2 linked regions of the Coturnix japonica genome follow. The protein of the gene in region 1 purifies or fractionates together with the protein of each later gene. This does not show direct contact. Links are inferred from orthologs where the notes say so. Each region holds a gene or a part of one and is shown in the gene's direction. Other genes may lie near its edges.

The links.
Region 2: the proteins of NDEL1 (region 1) and DYNC1I1 purify together in Homo sapiens (affinity purification with western blotting; 3 studies listed by BioGRID and IntAct, with this or other methods). This does not show direct contact. The link is inferred for Coturnix japonica from reciprocal best matches to the Homo sapiens genes NDEL1 and DYNC1I1.

The regions. Positions count from the first base shown.
Region 1 is NC_029533.1:1,498,758-1,506,590, forward strand, and holds part of NDEL1 (nuclear distribution protein nudE-like 1), read left to right. Parts: intron 1-360; coding exon 361-458; intron 459-1,848; coding exon 1,849-2,002; intron 2,003-3,107; coding exon 3,108-3,256; intron 3,257-4,285; coding exon 4,286-4,422; intron 4,423-5,893; coding exon 5,894-6,067; intron 6,068-6,833; coding exon 6,834-6,925; intron 6,926-7,833. UniProt on the Homo sapiens protein: Required for organization of the cellular microtubule array and microtubule anchoring at the centrosome. May regulate microtubule organization at least in part by targeting the microtubule severing protein KATNA1 to the centrosome.
Region 2 is NC_029517.1:21,978,773-21,986,605, forward strand, and holds part of DYNC1I1 (cytoplasmic dynein 1 intermediate chain 1), read left to right. Parts: intron 1-2,552; coding exon 2,553-2,686; intron 2,687-4,497; coding exon 4,498-4,642; intron 4,643-7,833. UniProt on the Homo sapiens protein: Acts as one of several non-catalytic accessory components of the cytoplasmic dynein 1 complex that are thought to be involved in linking dynein to cargos and to adapter proteins that regulate dynein function.

The DNA.
Region 1 (7,833 bases):
AGGAAAAACCTTTTACAAATCCAAGTGGAAACTGTGATAGCTGTAAATCATTACCCCTGGTGGTCCTAAATGAGCCAGTGGCTTTAACTGCTGTTTCCATGGTCGGTGAATGATACAGCCCAATTTTGTGGTCTCTTTTTCAGGCTGCTGCATGAGCGTTTCCAGAGGTTGGAGACCATGATGTTACTTGTTGCAGCTGGTCTTTGCTCAGAGGTGGCTGTTAGGAATCATTAACATTCTGCAGGCCAGTCTCAAGTCTGTTTGCTCCTGACAGGCCACAGCTTTGAAGTACAGCAGCAGTGGGGGGTTACTCTGCCTGCCTCATCATACTAAGCGTTTTCTTATGTCTGCATCCTACAGGTCATATTGAACATGGACAGTGAGGAAATTCCAACCTTCTCAAGTCCAAAAGAGGAAACTGCCTATTGGAAAGAGCTTTCCTTGAAGTACAAACAAAGGTACTGTTGGATATTTTCAGAGTGGATTTGGTTCTAGATGACTGAGAATGTAGCTTAATCTATTTCTCTGCTAGACTTTAATCAAAATGAGCATTAGATGTATTAAAATGAATCTCACCATTTCCAGCTTTAGGTGCAGCTTTTAGATCCAGCCTTGTGCAGGCTGAGTATTTCATTCTCAGTGTTACTATGCCATGAACTCAAGACTGAGCACGTTAGAGCAGGAGAAGAGCTCTTCTATGATCATGTGTATGTTTGTATAATTAAAATGCTGTCTTAAGTACTAGCTTGATGTTTTGCAGTAGGAAGACTGCCTGTGGGTTTGCCTGGTATCATTACTGTTCCCTCAGGCTTCTTGCACTTGGTCTGAGAAGTTTCTTATTTGGTAGCTGGCTGCAATATGTTGAAGCACATTCATTATAGCTCATAGTTCTGCCTGTGTTTGCCTCTGCCATCTTTTAAGGGGAGCAGAAGGCTTTTTGGTTACAAAAAGTGGCAAGAGAACTTGTTGTCTTGTGTGCTGCTTGTGGTTTGTTGTGGGGAGGGGAGTCAGTAGTGGTGGTTTCCTGCTCATTGCCTTTGGAGAGCTTTACTTGCACTCTATGTTAGTGTGCAATAGAAGCAAAGCCAGCTAAACCTCTCTCAAGTCCAAGGAGCCCAGTGTGCAAGCTGTTGTTTTGTTTGGGTCTGTTTTCTGGGTGTAGGGAACAGAGGGTGGGCATTTGAGATCCCTGAGCTGTATGAGAAAAGTCTGTCAGGTCTCTCTGAGGCCAATGAATATGTAGCTTCCTAAATATCATCAGTTTTCTCTGCTGGTTGCAAAGAGTTGAGCTATTACGTATGGTAAAGATGAGAGTGTAATTAGTGAAATATGTGGAGTTGCTGCTTCTAGTAATTTAATACCTTGCAGTGGCATAAGGTGGGTAAATGCTGGCTTCCTACCAAAGCACTTAGTAACCCTGAGATCCAAACCTTAATGCTTTCCAGCAAACTTATATTTCCAGGTAGTGCTGAGATGCAGTGACTATTGTTCTGTGCTGGTTTTTGCCTAAAGCAGGTTAAAAGCTTTACTTAGTGACTCTCTCAAGGCTGCTAGAGTGAAGGCTAGTGGGGTACCAAGTGTCAGACTTGCAGGAATCCTGGAAATAGCCTTGATATAGGTTGTATTTGCATGTGTATTGAATAGAGTTATTTGATATAAAGGGCTGAATTTCCATTTGTAGGTAAACAATGCAGTTTCTCTGTTTCCCCCAGTTTTTACTTTCCCTGTAGAGGTCCCTGGTTAAGTACTTTAAAACTCTTGGTGCTTTTTCACCTAATTATTTCTATAGAGCGGTGAACTTTGTGCTTGAGAGAAGCTGCATTTTGAACTGATGAAATCTCCTTACAGCTTCCAGGAAGCTCGTGAAGAGCTGGCTGAATTTCAGGAGGGAAGCAGAGAACTAGAAGCTGAGTTGGAAGCACAGCTGGTGCAGGCTGAGCAGAGGAATAGAGATTTACAAGCAGATAACCAAAGGCTGAAATATGAAGTGGAAACATTAAAGGTAGGTCTAATCTGTAATGATATTGATTCTTCCTTCAGATATGTGTCGGCTTTCATTTTAGGCTGTCTGTTCTTGTTCTTGGTTATTGGATACCTAAACGAAGTAAAGGGAATCATCTGCTTAAGGTCTAGTCTTGAGCATGGCATGTACTCCAAATAAGGCCAGCAGCATACCTTAGACACTTGTCATTGAGTTTGTGCTCCTCTGTTTATATTCTGCAGGCTTCGCCAAGTGGTGGCTTTGTTATGTACACAGGCAGCATCAGCATAGCAACGGGGAGGACAACACAAGTATGTTTTGTCAGACCACCATGTTGTCCTCTTTCTTTGCAGTTTTTGGGCTTTTTTTTTTTTCCTAATAGCCGTATCTATGGAGACAGGGTTTTCATAAGGATCTGTGTGTGCAGAAGGTCAATTTTAGGTAATATCTCTCCATTAAGAAGTTCTTGCCTCTTTTGGGATCCTGAAAAGTGCCTGTTCTGGTGATCTTGGATTATTTTATGAAAGCAAGAGTTGGGATCTTACCCAACAACAGTGATGTTTTTGGGACTACTGTTCACATGCGCAGTCCCAATAGCTGGTACTTATTTTTTTAAGGTCAGCAGTTTTTCCATAAGCCTCTATCTGTACCATTAGAGCAGATGAAAGCATGTTTTGGAATTAATCTTACAGTCTTTCAAAGAAAAGTTTGTGGACCTGGAGGTTTTTGGTAACAGATCGCAGTGGCTCTGATTTTCGGTAATGGAGATGTCAGATGAGTTCTTGTGACAGTGTGGCTATTGTAAGGGGAGAGAGGCATGAAGGGGAGGCTGTGCAGTTTGATTTCTCTCTGGTTTTCTAGATGGTTTAGGCTTTAGAGCAGCTGTGAGTGCAGGGGGCGCATCTCTGAACAGCCAGCTGTGTCATTATGAGTAGTCAGTGCACAGGACAGTGTGTGTAATTGTATCCTTTGTTCCTTTCTGATGTTCAGAGTACATTCCCTCTGCCTTTACAGTTCGTGCCATGCAATCCCAGATCAGTGGACTGCAGCTAGTGTGTTGCTTTGTCCCATTTGACCACTGAGTGGATGCTATTGATACTTATCTTTGGACATTTCTTTCTTTCAGGAGAAACTGGAGCACCAGTATGCACAAAGCTACAAGCAGGTGTCATTGTTAGAGGATGACCTGAGCCAGACACGGGCCATTAAAGATCAGCTTCATAAGTATGTCAGGGAGCTGGAGCAGGCCAACGATGACTTGGAACGTGCAAAGAGGTGAAGGCTGCAAAACTCTTATTTCCTTAAATATTCACAAGAGCTTGTCTGTGTTATTCAGATTCATGTTTTTATTATTCCTTTAGTGGGGGGGACAAAAATATGCATGCAAAAAATAATCTTAAAAAGAACCTAAGTCACTTGATTCTTTGTAAAGTGCAACTTACCCTTGGAGTTCACCTCCATCATCTGGTAGTGTTGCACTGCAGAAGAAAAGCTTGTGGGGGGTACCTGAAATGCTTCATGTTCTTGTGAGAAATGAGCCATGCAAGGGAGGCCAGTGCTCTAGTTTTGATACTGCCAGCCCAGTGACTCTTACATTTGTGATCCCTGTAGCTCAAAGCCCCTTTGAAGTAGGAAGCTAGTGCTTTACTTAGTCCTTTTTAAATTAAACACGCCAAAGGAGTCTCCTCTTTCCTTGCATAACAGCTTAATGACCGTGGGGAGCAAATGTGGTCTGTGTAAGAGCAGAAAATGAACAGGCTGCTGCAAGAAACGCCCATTTTTGGAGTAGATCATGCTTCCGTTCTGCTGAATGGGAATTTTGCCACTGATTCAGTGGGACCAGGAATGAGCCTCTGGCTATTTGGCAATAACATCTAAGAGCTGAGGCCTTGTTTCCACAGCACTCTTAACCTCATGACTAACTTTTGACACACATAAGTTGTCTCACTGAAATCATGGAACAAATATCCCAGTACCCTTCTTTCTGTGGGCTGCTGCCTGTTTCTCCAGAGCCGATACATGAAATACATAACTTTGGAGAATGACTTGGGAAAAATGGAGCTGAGTGTGCCACACAGGCTCTGTCCCAGCTATTTGGTATGTCTTGGAGAGCTAGATGCTGTCATGTTCTTTTCATCTCACTCCCTTCTTTGGAGTTCTGGTCCTTTCTAAGAAGCATTTCCATCGCTTTCAAGTAACTAACTTGAATGTAGATCCCGCTAACATTTTTCCTCTGTTATGTATTTGAATACGCTTTTAAGTTAGCTGAGCTGAAGAACCTAATATTCTGGATTTTATTTCTAGGGCAACAATAGTTTCGTTGGAAGACTTTGAACAAAGGCTGAACCAGGCTATTGAGAGAAATGCATTCTTGGAAAGTGAACTGGATGACAAGGAATCATTGCTAGTTTCTGTACAGAGATTAAAGGATGAAGCCAGAGGTATGGCTTGCTTGATTAGTTCTGTCTTTGTATGTTGTTGGCTTACTAACAGAGACATGAAGCAACCAGAGCTCATGTTTATAAAAAGCCTCACTCAATGAGATTGAAACTGGATGTGTAATAGAAGCGTTGGAATTTACCTGCTAATAAACATTATGCTCTGTGTTCTTTGCATGTCTGTTGAATCTAAGAGGGAAAAATTCCTCATGTTGGGTAAAGTTAGTGTCAGACTCTGTCAGGATTTTTAACCAAGGTGAGTAGGAAAGTAGTGCTTTCTGCAGGTTTAGTAGAGCTGAAAGCTGTGTTCCAAAAGTTCCCTCTCCATGGCTTTGTGCCACAAGGCACAGGGAAAGTACAGGAAATAACAGGGAAACGCATGCTAAATGGTAAATAACCATCTTTAAAAATACTACCTGCTGTTACCTTCTAAGCCTGTTGGAATTTGCCTGACTTCTTTAAGATATGCCCATAAAGGCTGTGGTTAGACCCGTGGCATCAGAGATGCTTCAGATAATCCTCAGTGCTGTAAGAGTTGGGAATTCCCTGAGAGGTTTCATGTTGAGTACATGGGGGAAACTTTATTTTAGTGGTTAGGGAGTGTGATTTCTCTGGTGGGGCAGTGTGCTTGTTAGTGTGCTGTCACGGCAGGTTAGAAATCAGTGTTTTTCAGAATTCTTTCCAAACTATTTCTTTGGAAACAGTTCCTCAGTGAAGGCAAGGACCTATAAAGGACCTTCTTAGGCTGTGCCTGAAAAGGAAACAAAAGAAAACAAAAAAAAAGCCAACCACGTAATGTATTATTACTTGCCTCTGGGCACTCTAGAGACTTTACAGATCCATGACTGAATTGTGCTGGATGTTCCTTATAGCAAATCTGTATGGAAGTGGGAGGTAGCAAGGTAGTCATACAAGGCAGTCCAGAGAGACAGTGGAAATAAAACACTGGTTTCCTGATTTCCCTTCTCTTTTCCTGTCATTTGGGCTATGGAGCTCTTTAGTCTGCTTGTTCTCATTTTGATGAATCAAGAAACAGCATCCCTTCACAATATCTGGCTAGTGTGCGATCTTACAGATTATTAAACTGGAAGGGCAGTGTTGGATCCTAAGATCACAAGATCAGGTCATTAACGTGTTTCCTTAACCTCCCATCTGAATGCAGTTAGCAGGCATTCGTGACTGGCTGCATTTTTCTGCAACACACTTTCCATGGAACTCAAACTACAAGTAGGGAGGAATGCTGAGGCCAGGTCACCTGCCTCACTTTCTGGGTGTACACAGCTCTCTGGGCCAGTAGAATGTGGCTCTCTTTCCATCTGGCAGTGATGGTATTTAAGATAGAGTCTTTTGCTGCTGCAGAGAGCCAGCAACAGTGAATCACTGATTATTGCCAAGTATTCTCTTCTATATAAATGAACAGAATGCTGGAGAAGTCTGTCACTAATCCAATGTGTGTTTTATCTTGCACACTCAGACCTGCGGCAGGAGCTGGCAGTACGGGAAAGGCAGCAGGAAGTCACCCGCAAGTCTGCGCCGAGCTCTCCAACTCTAGACTGTGAAAAGATGGATTCAGCTGTCCAGGCTTCTCTCTCCTTGCCAGCTACACCTGTTGGAAAAGGATCTGAAAATAGTTTTCCTTCCCCAAAAGGTACAACTCCTGCAAACTGTGCCTGGTTGGTTGGGAGTACGTTCTGCTTGCCCAAAAATTACTAACAAGGGCCTGGTCTGAATCTGACTTGAAGTAAATACAGGGTACATGTGGATCCCTACATAGCATGTGCTGGAATACTGGAGCAGTGTCAGACCTGTTTAATGAGTATAATTAGTTAATACTATGGAAAAGAAAGAGTGAAGCTTAGCTACTGCTTTGTAGGGGGTGAGGATTGCACTCCGCAGTAGAGGACTGCAGTAGAATTTATTTGGGGTTGCAGAGAAATGCTGTGACTAATATTTCACTGGTGGGTAAATAGTGGGTAGCAGTGCTGACAGTCTGGGCTGTCTTTGTTACCATGTGCTTTCGGGGGTGCTGTTCTCTCAGGAAGCTGTGGGATATTAGCCTAGTCCTCTTCCCATCTGGAAGGCTCAGGTCAATCGCAAGGATTAAAACATTTATTTATTTATTTTAAATTAAAGTAGATTCCAGAGAAAGCTCTGGTTGGATTAGATAGATTGCAGGCAGTAGCTATGCAGATGGAGGGTGCATGAACTCTGCCTGGGTACCTAATGGGGAGGAGGGTATTGGGCAGGAATTAAGCTTTTTCTTCTCTCTATGGCCAGTGATTGTGCAGCCTGTGTTACTGTTGGTGCAAAGAGTCTGCAGTAAGATTTTAGATTTATCTCCATGTAAAAGTGATTAAAAATATACATTTAACAGTGGAGGAGTGACGTGTATAACAAAGTGTGTTTGTTTGCAGCTATACCAAATGGATTTGGTACAAGCCCTCTTACTCCTTCAGCTAGAATATCTGCACTCAACATCGTGGGAGATCTCTTACGGAAAGTGGGGGTGAGTGCTCTGTACTGAACTATCCCCAGTTCTGAACACACAGTGGTGTGTTCATCCACATATGGGATGAAAAGGCCTTGGCTTGTGCTGAATTAGTTTGTAAGGTGTCTCTCTTATTTAAGAGAGTCCACATTTGGTGTTTGGGATGTGATAACGCTTGTTTTTTAATAATCTTGATTGATGGAGCAGGTTGCTACGGTTCTGATGCCAACTTGTAGAGATAAAATCCTTATTTAGTGTAAAGACTTTTTTTGGTGCACGTTAGCAGATGCTTGTTCATATTTCACATGAAAGCAGGACTCAGAGCTGAGCCTCAGCCTTAGTACTCACTGCACAGTTGTGTTATATCATGGAAGGTGAGCTGATATCAGACCGCTGGAGTCTCTGAGGAGGTCTGCAGAGGTTACTGAGAACTTAAATGAGTTGTTTACATAAAGTAAAACAGCCCTTTGGTAAGAAAGTGAAAAAAGAAATCAGGGGAAAGCCAAGTGTTCCCATCTGTAGTTGATTGGGAAGTGAAATGTGTGAGCCTCTAAAGGGATTACAACTGTGAGCAGGGAAGAAGCGGTTTCGACATCTGTTGCAGTGTTGCTTAGCATGGCAAGCTTTCCAGCTGAATGAAGACATGAGTTATGAGAAGCTTGTTTACTTGCCTCCTTGGGTAGTGTTTGGAAGCATGGGCAGCCTTGGTGTCTAGCCTCCAGGGCTGGCTTTCCTCTATCCTGTGTGGTTAGCACTGAGAACAGAAATAGCTGACGTGAATATGGTTGTTTTAGCCAAATTTGACATTAAAAATCAGATCATTGCTTGTATTTGGAGCTGGTGAGCTCATCGAGGCTGGGTTGAAAGGGCAGCAGGACGGCTCAGGGTTACAGAGTGGCATGTTTAAAATGGGATCATTGTGAGTA
Region 2 (7,833 bases), on another chromosome or scaffold:
ATCATATAATTATTATAATACGTTAATACATAGGTCAGTTTCAAGTGAAAATGAAATAATCCATTTTAAAGCATGGTAATTACAGAAGTTGCCTGTGGTATAAATTGTACTTACTCTACAGTGTTGTTTAACAAATATGGACTAGATTGCACTGCCACTGAACACACCCTAGGCACTATGGGTTTCCAAGGCACAAAGTCTGAAAGCTCACTTTGTTGCCTGCTTCCAGTATTTAAAAGGAAAAAAAACACAATGCAAATCAAATGTTTTAGAGCTAACTCCCCCCCCCCCCTTTTCCCGCTCTGGAATGTTTGTTGCTATTGTTTTCCCTTCCCCCTCCTACCCCCCTTTGTATCAGGACTGAAAGGAAGTCCAAGAAAATTGTCCAAACCACTTGTGATTATAATAATGGAAACTAAACAAAGAATCTGGTGCTGAGGAGGCCCTATGGAAAGTGTTATCTTTCAGAGTAGTACATTTGTATATTTCCTGTTCCAGCATATCACTGTTTTATTAAACATCATAGGATCTGATCATGAAAATGCTGAATAGGAACTGCTTTTAATGATTCCTTTAATTATCCATTAATAATGCATTAATGTGCAATTACTCTTGAGTTATTTGCTTTTCAGTGTTGACACAAGATGTGGGACTCCTCCCCTCCTTAGCCATCTAAAGGTCCCTGTCAAGTCCAAGCTGATCATTTGAGTTCCTTTTACAGTTAATTTAGAGAGAGACCAGCACTTCTAGAGGACAACTCAATCCATCCCAGCATGAGATACCACTTTAGATATTCTAGGGTACGGCACTGGACTTACATCTTAGGATGTAAGCTACTTCTGGAACTCATCCCATCTAACCTCTTACTGATAGTGAGGCCAACTTCAAAGTTTGATTGTGTTCTTCATGCTCCTCATATACATTATGGGTCTGGTAGTTGTGTCTGGGGACTATGAAAAACTGCTGCAGTTCTGGAAATGAAGAAGAGGCATCTAAAATGGCCCAGACATCTGTGTTTAGGAACCTGAATCCTTTGCCCTATTTTTCACTTAAATGTAGGGAAGATAAATCCTTGTGTGTTTACTTAGTGGAATACTGAATTTTCCAGCAGATATTTGTGAACATTTCAGTTCCAGAATTTCATCATTCAGATGGAATTTCCCAGATTCAAAACTGACTTTCAACAAGGATGGGAATGCATCCCATGTCACACTGAAATTCAGTGTATGGCTCACAGTTATCTTGAAAAGGACACGGGGCTTGATGTCAAGCTACACGCCATAGCTTTAAACTGAGCAGAGCAGTATTGCTGATTTGCATTAGCTTGAAACTTTCCAAAGACACAGATCCAGAGCACTCATATACAGCCATGGTGTAGGCTTTGAAGGAGATTCTGCCACAGTATCTGGCCATATCTAAGGACACTAAACAATGATCTCACCCCTGAAGATTTTTGTAGAAATATATGGTCCACAGGTGCTCTGCCAATGCATTTTCCAGGTCTTATTTTTCCTTGTTAATAGAAGCAAATATATGTGAAAGAAAAATATAAATCAAGCAGAAGTATTTCTCTATGGATTTGCAGCCCTCTCCTCCCATAGGGACGCTCACTTTCTTCAGCTACAGCAAAAATCCCTCCTGATAAAAATGCTGTAATCTTTAGCTCGAGAAGAATAGCAGCCTGGGCATTTAAATGTAGAAAGCACACACACTTAAAGAGCTGAAAATGAAAATTACTAAATCATTCAGGCCTTTTGTGGGATTCTTGGGTTACACCATTTAGGCTGCACAACCAAAAAGGTTAGAGTTGTGCAAAATCTGCTTAAAGCATATGCGTCGTGTAGCAGCATACGCATCATGTAGCCGCCACAGGCTGCTCACGCTGGTTGTATTCGAGATGTACAAAAACGAGTATGCTGATTTACTTTGAAATATGGCTAGAAGATGAAAATCTGCTTGCTGGTTTGTAGCTCGATGGTGGGATCCAGAGAAAATATTTATGATTAGTTCAGAAAATCTCTGAAAAACAATGTTTAGGATAGCAAGAATGATATGACACTGACTTCTGAATGTTGTTCTGCAGAGGGACAAATGTCACTGTCTGATAGACGCCTCAGGTGCATGTGATATTACATGTGTTTCCTGACAAACAACTGATTTTAGACAATGTTTGTAAGTAGAAGGGTATTTTTTATTAGAGCCTGGGGCTGGCAAGTATAGCCATTAAGGTGTTATCTTTAGTTTCTGCGCCATTAGATTTTAAATTCTCACCTGTCATCTCTGCCTGATTAAAGATGATGTTGCAGCCACTCTGAAGTGTCTGACACAGCATCAGGGATGGCAGGAGCCGTGCATCCTGATTGTGACATTGCATCTTCTTCCATTGCCCAAAACAGAACCCTAAATCCTGTGACTGGATCAGATGATTCCTCCTTCCTTTCTTGGTACTCTGTATAACATTTAGAAATGAATCAGCAAAACAAAAACAACATCCACAAACAAGCCAAACAAAAGGACAGCTACAGAGTAATAACAAAGATCTATTTCGACAGGAGAGCATGGAGCTGGTGTACAACAAGTCCAAACCAGTGGCAGTTACAGGAATGGCTTTCCCAACTGGAGATGTCAATAACTTCGTTGTTGGCAGTGAAGAGGGAACAGTCTACACAGCCTGTCGTCATGGAAGGTGACTTTAAGCTTTATGTACTTCTGTAACATCATCTGTATTGGCATGAGGTAGCCACGTGTGTGGAGTGTGCTTAGCTTTTTGTCCCTTGGATGAGCAGGATCTGTGCTGGGACGGGACTAGGGTGGGAACTGCCCAGCTTCATGCGTGTGTGTTACTGCCATGCACTGCAGTGCTTGGCCAACCTCCCTGTGCAGTCAGCAGGGAGCAGTAACTGCTGGAAGGTGTGACTTCTCTTGCCTTTTCCACTTCAAGAAGGGATGACTGGCATCCTGGAAATGCCTCTTTCTCCGCCCTGATTCTAAGGGAAGCCTCAAGTGCTGGCTGAGGTGTAGATTTCTGTGTTGGGGCAGGTTGTACCAGGCCCTAGGAGAAACCTTTGTTGCGGGGTAGTCAGACGTAAGCCACTTGGAAGAAAGGGTAATCTGCTTTATTTTCTTTACCATTTTCAGCTTCATCTTCAGTCTCTACAAGCAGATAGCAAAGAAAAGAAAGCACAACAAGGGTCTGAGTGCTGTATGGCTAAACACTGATTTCTCCACTTCTAAAGCTAGGAAAGTGCAAATTCAGTTCCATAATTTAAACAAGTTCCTGATTTTGCACCCTGTAAACTTTCTAAGGCTGCAGTCAAAAACAAGGAGCTCTCACCACAGGCCTCTGCAGAGATCAATTCCTTGTGTTTGCTACAGTGATCTGCAGGGTGCTTGCGTGCTCTCAGCTTCTGGTAGCAGTTTCATCCTCTGGGATGCTTGAGTGGCTTCTGTAAAGAGCAGGCTATTTCACTGATAGATCTAAAGCTGACCTCCCACTTCAGTGGTCTTCAGATTCATATGTTACCACAGCCCTTGTTTCAGGGACCAAATACACACTGGCAGTGGTTTAGCAGTGGTTTAAGATTGTAAGACTTCTATTACACATTCTTCATATTGTATAGTCACAGTTTTACATACATTTTCTTCAGAATTATTTTTATTTAAAAGTATTTTTTACTTTACCCTGCTGACAGTATTGCAGTGCTGTGTCTGTTTAGGCATTATCCTGATAGGTTGTGGCTGCTGGTCTGAATTAGTTTTTGGCTGCTGGGATAAATGGAGCACGCCCAAGGGCATTTCTCACATCTGATCTTTCAGATGTGCCTGGTTTGTTCCTCACAAGAGAAGGACAACAGATTTGGCATCATTTGCTTACAGGATGAGCAAAGCTGCCCGCTTTCTTTCTTACCCAGATTTGTGCTTTTCCTTCCTATTCTAGCCTCACTCTGACGATATGCACACCTTCCCATGCTCACAATAATGACTTTGATACCCCATCATGTGAGCAGTCCCTTCACATTTTGTGAAGAAGGATTTTCTTCCCAGGGACATGACTGACTGCTGTGCAGAGTTATTTTAAATATTCGAGCAAAGAAGAATTGCAAATGATATGTCATTAGCATCTTTGCATTTTTATTTTAATGGTTATTCCTCGTAATAATAGTGTACTCAGATGTATAAGATGTAGTGTAATTATAATTTCTAATTACTTTATAATTATACATACATGTTATTTCAAGCTATAGTAGTAGACAGTGTATATAGAAGTCAGTAATGCGTGTCTTCAGAAGGAAAAAGAGCTGTCTCTCAGTGCTGGATCCTGAGCACTAAGAGTGCCCAGAGCAGTGAGCTGCTGCAGGCAAAGGCCTTGCTGAAGGGAGACTGCTTTGCAGGTTAAATGGAGCTTTAAAAGAAAACAGGATTCTAAGAGGAAAAGAAAATGATGTTAAAACACCACGTTACTCACATTCTGAATGTAGATGTCTCTTCCTCCTGCAGCAAAGCTGGCATTGGTGAAATTTTTGAAGGCCACCAAGGACCTGTCACAGGAATCAATTGCCACATGGCAGTGGGCTCAATTGACTTTTCCCATCTCTTTGTCACGTCATCATTTGACTGGACAGTGAAGCTGTGGACCACAAAGGTGAGGAAAACGAGCTGGGATGTGATGGGTAATGCTACTTGTGAAAATGCCATTGTCAGAAATGTTTCACTTGAAATCAATTCACTGAAAGGCTGTTCTTAGAAAAGGCGTAGTGTTAAAGTGAAATGAACACCCAGTGCAACTACGTCAGCCATCTTTGCCATGGAGCCTACCCTATAAAGGTAGTTTCATCTGGCTTGCACTTCAGTATTAACCCCAGTGTTGAGCAATTTCACTAGGAAAGGAGAATAGAATGGATCGTAGTGGCAGTCATCACAGAATTCATCTAGCGCTCCTTGTGCAGGCTGAATTGCGAGGCTAATACTGTGCACTGTGACAGTACAACAGCAGGAACGCTTTCTTCTGATGAAGCAACAGGGAGGTACATGTACTACAGTGCAGTCAATATCCTTCAAGAAAATTATTGCTGTAGGAGGCTGTGGTAGCCAGAAAGTATAACTCATCCCAGTGACATTAGACACCAATGGCTGGGAGCAGGGAGGAAATACATGCTTGTACATTCGTGACTTTTGTTGCTGACTGCTCTGTGGATGTGTCTATGTCACCTCTTACAGGGACAACACTGTGAACAGTGGAAAAGAGCACACAGGCCTGCGGAGCTTTGAATACCCACACTCCATCTATGTATAAATATAGACTAATGACAGAGTCACCGCAAACTGCATGACAGTTTAAGTAGACCAGCCTCATTGTGCGGGCTGAGTGGAATAGGAGAAGTAAAATATCTAACATTTAAGTCATCTAAACAGTTATTTTTGTCCTACATCAGAGCAGAGAACTACATTCCAAGCACCGGACTTCTGTCTTCATCATTTATTTGTGTCTGCGTTTGGTTCACATCTTGAGCTGTATCCGACAGAGCTCCAGTGCTGGAAATTGACCCCAGTCAGGAAATATCTCAGCGTGTGTTCCTCAAACTCATCAGGGCTTGGAGATGCTGAGACAGATGCACAGCAAATGTAAACACAGAAGTGATCAGAAGGAATCATGTGGCCGCCTTGTTCTGGAAATAGAAGCACAGTTACCTAGATAATAGCTTGAATTAGCCTCTGTGTAGCTTCATAATGCATTTGTTAATAGCTTGATCTGATGTGTACGCTAATTAATAGGTATCTTTGCATGATGAGCAATGACCACAGCTGACAGTTTTGTTTGAGTATTGCAGTTTCTGAGCATTGCATACTTGGTAGGAGGAGGGGTGCATGATTTACCTGATTCTCTCCATAAACAGCAGTGGATCCAGCCTTAACCTAATGCAGAACTGACAATGGAGGGTGGTCGTGGGCAGGTTGGGATGAGTTTGGGGTCAGTCCTAGGTAGTGTTAGAGAGTGCTGTGGGATAACTCAGTGATAGAGAGCTGGCTCAGGCTGGTGAGTCTGGTGTCTCAGAGAAGAGAGTGCTGGTCAGTGGCACTGGTGGCAAGGGAGTATCAGATGGTTGAAGCTGAAGTTAAGTAAGAGGAAAAGAATTTGTGGGTACTGGGTGGAAAATGAAATGAAGGTACTGAAATACCTGCATTCTAAATATACACGTCCAGAAAAGTTTGGCATAAGTATCAGACACTCAGCTTGAGGCTGAATATCTCACTAAGGGTCTCATCCTTCTGCAGCATAAAGGAAATTGTATTAAGGAATGAGAAGGCTTGGGTTTTTATTTTGAATGCCTGGGTTTTTGGAAGTTAGTGGCAGCACTAACACAGCATATTTTGGACACAAAGACACTGCAGTTAGCAGTACATGGTAATCCTTGTGGAATACTTCATTGCCAAAACAGTTAGGTCAGATGCTGTTCAATACAGTCAGTTTTCAAAGAACCAAGCAATTTAAATTTTTAATACCTCATCTGGCAAGAGGGACTTCCTGAGAAAGCTACTTGACCTAACCGATGGGGGCAGGGATGTGCGTGTGACACAACACAGCACTGCTGTGAGCTGGAAACAGTATTGCTGTACTGGCTCCATTGGTTTCTCCTGGAGCAGATCTGAGCAGCAACAGCAGCTCTAGGCTGCTGCACTGCTAGTCTCTGTGTTGTTCAGAACTACTCTGAGGCTCTGAACAAGTTTGTGAAATGTAATGTTTTCCTTTTCTTCCAATTAGACTACTGCAGAAATTTCTTTCCATATTATCTCTTGGCTGGAGTGAGTACATATTTAGTGCTCTCTTTGTTCCATTCCCACAGTCAGGAGCCAGCCCATCACTGGATATTGAACAAACCCCTCAACATTTTTGATTACCTGAAAAAAATAGCATGTTAATATGAAAAAATGAGTGATATGGTTGGTTTAGGAGAGTTTACTCAGATGTCTTTATTATTATTATCCCCTTGGTTTCTTATTTGTAAAGCTAATCCCTCTTTCAGCATCCAAAGCTGTATCACTTTCTGGCTCCTACCAGTGATGTCTACCTAATCCTGTGCACATTATCCTCTTTCATCCTGAAATTCAATTCCTTTCTGTTTCACACGTTCAGAATCAATGTCCAATTGAAAAGTGAACCATAAAAGCTCTGTGTTTATATTGCCTGTTGATGTGGTGTAGCACCCTGGGGTGCTTACAAGAAAGGCACTTTCATAGCAGGCATTTGACTGATGGATTGAAAGCCCTGTCTCCCTTAAAAACTCTGGATTGACATTTTATAATCTGTTTTTGCAGTTAACACATTTTCCATCCCAACACAGTTCAACCAGGGGACTGAAAGTAAGATGTTTATTGAAGAATGAAGGTCTGTAGATAATACTAATAAAAGGTTCCCTTTATCATCATATTAGCCTATAATTAGATCCTTGGGTGAACCGTGAGCAACCAGAAGCACTAGGAAAACAAAAATGTAATTTGTAAAGATGGCCTCTTGATAGCCAGGGCATTACCTGGGTCCTGATGAAGTCAATAGGACTTTCAATTTGAATTCATGCTATACCACATAAGCAAGTCTGGGATGCAGAGCTGTCAAAGGAAAGTCCTGATGGGAAATGTCTGTGGAGCTCTGCCCCCAGTTAGTTACTGTCTGTACAATGCTTTGAAGAGGTAAAGTGCTAAGTGGAAATGCTAAGTGTTGCTAATTAATTAAGCACTAATCCTCATGAGCGAATAGCATGAGGTTAAATAATGAAATGTAAGTATTGTTATTATTACAGCAATTGCTGTGTGGAGTGGGAATTTTTAGATATTGTG